Linked DNA regions of Daphnia pulex. The protein of the gene in region 1 purifies or fractionates together with the protein of each later gene. This does not show direct contact. Links are inferred from orthologs where the notes say so. Each region holds a gene or a part of one and is shown on either strand. Other genes may lie near its edges. The genes, in order: ras-related protein Rab-5C-like and rabenosyn-5-like.

Evidence for each region.
Region 2: the proteins of ras-related protein Rab-5C-like (region 1) and rabenosyn-5-like purify together in Drosophila melanogaster (affinity purification with western blotting; 3 studies listed by BioGRID, with this or other methods). This does not show direct contact. The link is inferred for Daphnia pulex from reciprocal best matches to the Drosophila melanogaster genes Rab5 and Rbsn-5.

The regions. Positions count from the first base shown.
Region 1 is NC_060026.1:1,540,085-1,544,680, reverse strand, and holds ras-related protein Rab-5C-like, read right to left. Parts: upstream 2,845-4,596; 5' UTR 2,697-2,844; exon of another isoform or gene 2,560-2,696; intron 2,348-2,559; exon of another isoform or gene 2,074-2,347; intron 2,001-2,073; 5' UTR 1,981-2,000; coding exon 1,782-1,980; intron 1,720-1,781; coding exon 1,611-1,719; intron 1,546-1,610; coding exon 1,286-1,545; intron 1,217-1,285; coding exon 1,101-1,216; 3' UTR 239-1,100; downstream 1-238. Other genes in the region: uncharacterized protein LOC124204766, read left to right, coding at 3,655-3,721, 3,791-4,067, 4,534-4,596.
Region 2 is NC_060026.1:3,857,269-3,861,790, reverse strand, and holds rabenosyn-5-like, read right to left. Parts: upstream 2,948-4,522; 5' UTR 2,754-2,947; coding exon 2,591-2,753; intron 2,447-2,590; coding exon 2,324-2,446; intron 2,264-2,323; coding exon 1,961-2,263; intron 1,876-1,960; coding exon 1,679-1,875; intron 1,620-1,678; coding exon 1,480-1,619; intron 1,412-1,479; coding exon 1,325-1,411; intron 1,248-1,324; coding exon 1,074-1,247; intron 1,014-1,073; coding exon 908-1,013; intron 816-907; coding exon 700-815; intron 591-699; coding exon 500-590; 3' UTR 274-499; downstream 1-273. Other genes in the region: uncharacterized protein LOC124204889, read right to left, coding at 3,113-3,161, 3,221-3,609, 3,672-4,522.

The DNA.
Region 1 (4,596 bases):
CTAATTACCACCACGAGTTCCCACTTGGACAAAAGCTGCTGAAATTTGGCTGTAAAAAAAATTACCTCTTGTGAAATGTCATTCGTATTTGTACCATGTGCATCAATATAGATTCGCCTTTTCACAAGAATATCCAAATTTTTCTCGTTATTTCTCCACTCATTTCAACTTCCAAAGTGCAAAGGCTTATCAGTATCAGTAAAGCCAATTAAAGAAAGAATGAAATGAAATCAACGGGCAAGGCAAGAAATGTACATTTCCTGATATAGCAGCGTTACTTACACGATATCCAAGTTAGGACATTATTCGAAAGATATTGGGAGGGCCACGATCATGATCAAGGAGAGAAAAAGCTAAATAGGTATATAGAGAAGAAATGTGTGGAACACCTACATTGATTTGTATATAAAAAAAAAAAAAGGTAATCAAGGTTTCACAAAGCTTGATATACAAAAGTTTTGAAGGGCGGGGGGGAGGTTCGAGTATACACAAAAGAAACGGGGGGAAGAAATTCTACACACGAGAAAAAAGAACCATCACACAAGTTTGTTTGAAGTAAAAACGTGGGGGGAAAAAAGGTGTGTGTTATGTAAAAACCAAAATAGAAAAAAAACATGGTTGATGATGGTCGGGAGATTTAATAATACAGAGTCAGGCCATTATTTTTTGTAAACCCTTGCCTTGTTTTCTTTTCCAATTCAAATTCGCCATTTAATTTGGAATGTCGCTGCTCCGTTTGAATAAAAAAAAAATTAAAAAATAAACGATCGACACAACGGATAATCCCCAAAAAAGGTTGTAACTATTTAAATGCTGCAAATTATATTCTGATGGGGGGAGGGGGATGCTGTAAAGGGATATGATATAAAAGTCCTTTTGATGGTTTACAAAAAAAAAAATTAGGGAAAAATAATAATAAGAAAGAAAAGGAATTGGATCCCCGCGTGTGGAAAAAACAAAGAAAACAAAGAACGGATGATTTTTTCTTTTTTTTTAATATATGGTTTTTTTGTTGTTTTTGTTGTCTTTCATAAATGTGTGTAGTATGTGTTTTTTTTCTTTGTTTAGTTTCTTTTTTTTGTTGTTTAATTATTTCGTGATCACTTGCAGCACGAGGAAGCTGGTTTGTTGCCGTCTTCAGCTCTGTCTAGCCTCCTACCCTGCCCACTGCTTCCGCCAACACCTCCAGCTCCGTCGTTCTTAGGTAGTTTCTTGGCTGTCAAGTGCAAAAAGAAAGATGTACATAGAGAAGAATAATTGCATGTGAGTAATGAGTTGAATTTACCGATAGCCAAGAAGATGTCGTTGACGTTCATGGCCGTCTTGGCTGACGTTTCCATAAATAGAAGTCCGTTTTCTTCGGCGTAGCCTTTAGCTTCGTCAAATTCAACAGCACGTTTAGCGGCCAAGTCGGCTTTGTTGCCCGCCAAGGCAATGACAATGTTAGGGGAGGCTTGACGTTGCAACTCTTTCACCCAGACCTTGGCCCGGCCAAAAGTGTCTTGGTTTGTTATGTCGTACACTACAATAGCCGCCTGTGCCCCTCTGCAAATATCAACAAAGGTGTTATTGATACAAGTTGACACTTTTTGTTTTATGATCAATCGTACCTGTAATACATGGGGGCAAGACTGTGGTATCGTTCCTGGCCAGCAGTATCCCAAATCTCAAATTTGACAGTTGTGTCATCCAAACAGACTGTCTGTGTCAAGAAAGCCGCTGGAAAGAAAACGACAACATTAACAACTGTGATCAAAGAGTGGAGATGAAATCATGTTTACCTCCGATGGTACTCTCCTGGTATTCATGGAACTGTCCTTTGACAAAACGGAGAACCAGACTGGACTTTCCCACTGCAGACTCACCGAGAAGCACCAGTTTGAACTGGCAGATTTTGCCCTGTGTGGCACCATTTGGTCGCTGTGCAGCTCCACCGGCTGCTGCTGTTGCTGTTCCAGCTTGATTCCCACGATTGGCCATGACTCTGCTGTAAACTGAAGCTGCAACAAGAAAGAAAAAAACATCAGTTCACAACCTTGTGCAAAAAAATTAGCCAAGGTAGAATCCTTATACATATTGGGAATAAAAAAAAAGAGAATTTGATTGGCTTCCTGTGCTTCTGACCTACTAAAACAAAACAAGAACAAAAAGCTATATACCCCAAACCAGGAAACTGTTTGAGAATTCTGAACTTGAAAAATTCTAGGAAAAAATCAAAATACGATTCCTCCAAGCCGCTGGTTTGTTAAGTGTTACGAAATGCAAAACACGTCGTTATAAAAATGAAGGCACCAAACAACACCACACACAAGACGGAAGACCCAGCAGCCAGGGGTGGTATTTTGAAACGTCACTTGAACATCAGACGGTGGTAGGGTGGGTATATCGATATTATACGGGAAATGTTACACGTAATTTTTTCTCTCGAGTAGAATGGGGAGGGAGTATAAGGAAAAAGTAAAGAAAAAATCAAAATTTTATGGAGGGGCTGATTGGAAAAAGATAGCAGTAAATCTGTTATTTTTTCGAGAGGCGTCTACCGACACGAACAAAACTTACACAAGGGATAAAATAACCGATGCTGTTCAGTGGGGGGAAACAAAAAGTCAAAACTCTTGATGACACACACACTTCTTTATGACGACGACAGGAAGGAAGAGAGTTTCAATAGTATGAACGTAGGCAATAGTTTTTACATGTAAAGATTACGAAATTCGACTGCTCTAGTGCTATCTCGCTGCTGTGTGTTGGAAAAAATTTTATTATTCGCAGCGAAAAAGCGAAATCCTCACAACAGGGAGGAGGGACACACAAGAACTAGCCCACCAGGCGGACAAATATCGAAACATGGCAACCTTGTTGTGTTAAATAACTTTTTTACTCGAAAAAATCCAAAATTTTTTAAAAATCTATTATTTAACTTAGTCAACATTTACATATCGAGCGTTAACGATTCGTAATGAATAATGCAGAATAATTAAAACAAATTCCACGTAGATATCGAATAAACCGTGAATTTCGTCGGTACTATTTAGCTCTGGTGAGCCATCTAGCGGTCAAAAGAGTCACTCGAATGGCCAGATCGAGGGGAGGTGTTTTCTCTTCTCTCCATCCGCCCCGGAAACTTTAATTAAGACAAAGCGATGGAAGGGGGAGACGACGTAGAGGATAAGATACAAATAATCCACAAATCTAATCTCGGTCTTAAATTGGCAATCACGGAAACGTCATGGATTCCCGCCCGGCAAGCCGTCTGCTTTCAAAAAATAAGAGAAGAGCCAATTGTCGTTATTACCTTTTAGTAGAAGCGGCGGCATATACATAAATATATATCAGAGAGCGCGACAGCAGCACAGCTGCTTCTCTCTGTGAGTATAGAGTTAACCATCCGGGGGTAGTAGTGCACTGGCAATCCGGTGTGTGTGTATATTGACGTCCGCGTCAGGGGCCCACGGCGGCGTCAGTATCACAGCGACGGCTAACAGATCCGCACGTGTCTCCGTTTGTTTCCTCGACCGAAAAAAAAGTGTTGTGTGTGCGTCTATACTTGTTTTGTCGCTTCAGCCAATGATGACCTAAGAAATAAATCCGTCCAAAAACCAGAGAGAAAAACAACAAAATTTTTTAAAAAAAGGACAAAAGTTATTTCAGAAAATGGCACGTCAACTCATCATTGGATTACTACTCTTTTGTGTCATCGTTCACGCGGCGCAATCTCAAGGTATATAAAAATCACCCCAGCAAATATGTACGGCCTCTGTTTTTTTATGTTTTAACATTTTTGTTGTAGAATTGAAAAATGGAACGGCCTGCAAGGAGGAGATACTGCAACTTGTTTGCGAGTCCGAGACGGAAGTTTTGGTTATCCATCGGGCGGTTTTCGACGGACAAGATTCGGATGGATGCGGATTTCTGATGCCGATCAACATCTCTTCCCTACTGCCACCGGTGTCATCGGCCATTCAACAACAACCAAAGAATATAACCGATCAGGAGGAACTGCAGGAAATGATCGAACTGGATAGTCGCCGGCGATTATTCTCCGTCCAATCGACTGTCAACCGCCGGTAGGTTTTGTCGTCCCATCTACTTAGCTAATGGCACTCTACACCCAATTAATCAGTCAATTGGCCGCGTTAATCAGCCAAGTCTGATTTAGAGTTTGGGTCGTCCAACCAACGGTTGATGGATGATTCAAAAAAGATTTCACCAGCAGCTGTGCAATATCATCTCGATAGATATCGACAGGGGAGAGAATAAAGTTCAGTATAGGGGGGGAGTAGGTTTTTCCAGCACGCACGGGCAACTTTTTCAATAGTTTATTTGCGTCGGTAGTAGTCGAGGGGGGACACACACAAAAGGAGGAGAGGCTTTTAGTAGTCTGAGGGGGGATGTCAGCGTTGATGGAGTAAAGCATTTGTCATCCACTTAAAAACATGAAAGTAACTACTAGTCTACTACTAGTGCAGTAGTAGTACATCCGAGCTCCTTTTAGCATAATCAATACAACATTTCTTCCTTCTTTTTGAACAGATGTAGCGGCTTAAACAACTGCACCGTCCAATTGGAAAACGATGAACCGCAAGCCAAGCAATG
Region 2 (4,522 bases), about 2.3 Mb from region 1:
GGACAGCCGTTGTTACTTGGCTAAAAAGTAAAAACGTAAAAAGAAGAATCGTCTGCAGCCGACCCCTAGCGGAGCAGCGCGAAATTCTTATTTTTTATTTGACAGAGATGGATTTTGAAGTTTAGCTTTAGTCGTTAACATTTATAGCTTCACTCTTCAGTTATAAAATTCAAATGCTACTTAATTATTTATTTATTTAGTGTAAGATTTGAAAGTTTTCAAATGTCTAATTAGTGCCACACAATTTTCGCAAATGCTGCTTCTACACCTCCAACAGGCCTGAAATTTGATGTATTTTCTAGAGTTCATTCCTTTGGAATTGCATAATTCTTTTTCTAACTAGGAAGTTAATCATATGCATTTATGAACAAAAAAACGGAAGTTGCATTCATTATTATATATCGCATTCAAAATAACGAATATCACATTGTGGGGGGCGAATAAACATGTTATTTGACCATTCTATATTTGATCAATTGATGGAATGTCGATCGAAATCTTATGACTGAGACTGCATTCTCTCGTGTTCAATCTGAAGATCACGTAAGTTTGCCTCCAGGATAACAACATCGTCGTAACGATTTGCACGCCTAGTAGATTAGAAAATGAAAGAAAATGAATAAGGAATTTTTTTAATTTTGAAGACAGGATTTCAAAGCATAACCTAGAAATTCCCTAGTCAATAATTTTCATGTATACCTAGCTTGTTGAATGTAATTCCGCATTATTTGCATTTGCTGTAGCATCGGATCATCTGATTCATTTACGTTTCTTATGTTTGAGGTTTCTACTCCCCAACCTCTATCCACGGACACCTACAATTAAATAGATTACAATGCAACGCAATATTTTTTTAAGTAATCAGACATAAGCACTGTGCAGGATGGAAAAAAAGTAAAAAACTTACTGCTTCAAAATCTTTCTGATTATCCATGTGTTGACGCCTAGTTTCTGTTTCCCGTTTTTCAAAAACAGCTTTTTTCTCTTGAGCTATGCGCTTTTCGATTGCTTGACTGAAGAGAAATGGACGGGTAAAATGAATTCATAACTAAAAGTTAATTGATCTGCCTTACCGCCTCTCAGCTTGCAGCACTATAAGTTGTTCTTCAGTGGGCAAGTTCGGCAATCCAAGTAGATTTTCTTTCAAGAAGTTTACTGCAGAAAGACGAATTTTGAGTTGTAATGACAGAGCAGTGCCAGACGTGGGATTCTTCTCATCATCGATTCCCAGAGACTGGATTTTTTTACTAAACAATAAATAAAAAAAGTGTATCAATAAATTTACCAATAGCGCCAAAGAGAAAATTAAGAGAAAATTGGATACCTGTAGCCGTCAACGTATTCGGCAATTTTCAATAGTTTCAGACGACATTCTTGAGCATCTTTCAAATTGTAAGTAGATTCACCTTGACTTGTCAATTAAATAGAAAGTTATCATTTGTGAAACATTGATTTGTTCCTTAAGAAATTATGACAAACCTAAAAGATTCGAGCATTTTCAAGAAAACCGGCATGAGTTCGGCACCTTTTTCCATGTACTTCCGCATTTCATTATAGAGTTCGGCGATGACAGCGTTTTGACTCCGGCTGTCCATTTGCTGTTCGCGTCGTTCAAGAAGCTGGAAAACGTTTGTTATGGTTTTTAAAATTCTTAAACTAAAGCATTACGTTTGCGAACCTGTTTACAATAATAACAAACTCTGATGTGACCTTCTCCCGTATCGGTATCAATTAGAGAGGTCAGTGACGTCAAACTAGTGGTAGATCCAGTCCTTTTAAGAGCATGGACGGCAGCGTGAGTTAATCTCTTAGGAGGACTTGGTTTCTCCTTGTTGTCATCTAAGGTTGGAATATAGCTGGGATTTGTCAGTTTCCCTTGCAAAAAGTAAATGGGGAATAATGAGAAACTGAAACACAAAACATCTTTAAAAAAATACATTTGTAAAACAATAATGCTTACTTGCAAATGAAAGCAAGAGAAATTGACTGCATTGGTGGCATTGTACGGTACCACAGACACGGCAGTGATGTTTCCGTCTAAGTATGTTAAATGATTTAGCACATTGTGGGCATAGCTGAACATCCTCGTCGTTAACCCAAGTAACTATGTTTTGTTCATGCTCCCGTCTTTTCGCAGCTTCACTGGGTAAGCAAGATACAATTTTATCTAGTCGAATGATTAATTTGTTTGTTTCGGCAGCGTAAAAGTCCATTCGGTTACTCCGGAACTTACGGAAATCCGACCAGTGACTATGTATTACACCTACAATGTATTTCAATTAGATATAATGAACAGAGTGTTAACTTTTTGAAAATTTCTTACCAAAATCTTGAGGATCCCATTCAACATGATCCTGCTTTTGCTGACTGGATTTTGAACTGGTTTTCTCCAGAATCTCAAAAGGATTGTCTGACTTCAAAATCTTCTTAGCCTTGCCAAGAAAGTCTAAAACCAAAACATAATAAAAAAAAGTTTCTGTTAAAATAATTGTGTTTACATACATAAAACTTCCTACTGTGCTGAATATGATAGCATGTTGTACATAGTAATCGCAATGCATACTAATGAAACAAATGAAGTGGTTATTACCTTTGAAAGCCTGTAATACATCATTATCCTCTTCTGTATCATGAGCTTCTTCGAAATGAAGAAGTAACTGGTCATCTGTAGCCAAATCTTCCATGCAAATAGGACAAATAAATCCTTCTCGAATTCTGCTCTCGTTATCGTCTGTGTGTGTGCTGGTCGCCATTTCACTCAAATAGTTGATACTACTAGGATTATTGTATCAGGACAAATCACAAATCTAACCAATGTTACTCCAAATCTGTGTAACAACTTTTAAAAGCTTGTAATCCAGGAATAATTCACTTCATTTGTATTACGCCCATTCCTATAATTTCTTTGGACAGAAGCAGACGACGTCGTCTTACTTCCTATATTTCAATCGATTGTTAAGTATTGCGATACATGACAAAATGAACGAGTCTAGCGGTTTTTTTTTTACATTTCTAATGAATGATTCGTTTTTTTATTTCTGTTACTCAATAATTTCTTGCAACGCACTGAATAAGGAAAAACTCTGATATAAACAAAATATCGTATGTAGCGCTATAACTTTGCGTCCTTGGGTGTGTGTCCGAATATGTCTCGGTGTGACCTACCAAACAAATAAATGTAGAATAATCCAAATTAAAAAATCAAATAGAATGAAAATACCCAATTGACATTGCGCGTTGAGAACGACGTCTAGGAGAAGGATTGGTGGACGAACTGTAAGTAGAACAGAAAGTATCATTGTGTCCATCGGAATCAGTGTGGTGACTGTGGTGCTGACGTTCTGGTTCGCTCATTTCAATCGGATCCTGCCATTCTTCCTTTTCCGTGTCCGACGACGACTGGGAAACGCGTCGCGGTCCCACCGAAACTGCCGGCGGAGGCGAATGAGCCGACCGATGGACGACAACATCCTCTTCGACAATGCTGTCCAAGAAACGAGGCACCATCTCACTGTGCAACGAAATTGTGCTCTCGTGAAAGCTGGGCAATTCTCTTCCCTGCCGGAACGTGTAGCTGTAAATCTTTGGAGCCTTCTCCGCTTGAATCAACTGGATTGAGAAGCGATTAACGGCCAAATTGCCTAATGTAATAAGACAATGTCTTACCGTACATTCGTGACGGTCGACTTGAAGTAGGATCCATCCATAGTGGCAATCTGCTCCAGATCGGTGACCGAATCCATCTGGTGCGAAAGGAGTCCGGAGATGTTGCTCGATTCCGTCGAGACTCCGAATCCGGAATCGAGTTTCGTGTCTGACGTCATCTGGCTCTTTTCGACGTAAGCAGTTGCTGTAGCGTCGACGACCGATACTTTCGACTTCAAACTCGGTTTGTGCGGATTAAGCGACTGCAAAGATGGCTGCTGCTTGACCGAACGTCTCTCGACCACTTTGTTGATCAATTTCTCTTTGATGTCGGAGTCGACTTCCAGATCGAATGCCAAACTGCCTGGATGACGCAATTCGATAATCAGCATGGCGCTTCCGGTCAACAAAGCCACCAGACCAGTGACGAGCACAGTCCAGTAACAGCCGTCCAGTTTGAATTGGAGTAGGCTTCCATTGATGACGATGACTAGATCCAAGGCTGGCAACAATATCCAGTAGAGGAAGACGGCCATCAGGCCCAGCAAACCGGTGGTTATCATGGCAACGGCTCCGTGCTGCGGAATGACGAGGAAGAAAATGTTCATCCACGCCCAGCTGATGAGCGTCAACGTCAGGAAAAATTGGCAAAAGAATCCAGCCCTTCGGTAATCGACAGACCAGCGGAAACCTTCTTCCTGGTGACTAAAATAGTTGATGACGGTCAAGATGGGAACAGGCAATCCGCGTTCCAGGGCTTCCCTGAACTGCACTCGCATGTCTTCGGCCGTTTTCAGTTCGATCCGCTCGTTAAATTTGATGACACTTAGATCGCTCGCTTTCTCGTAGGATCCAGTGATCAGCTGGATGGAATCTC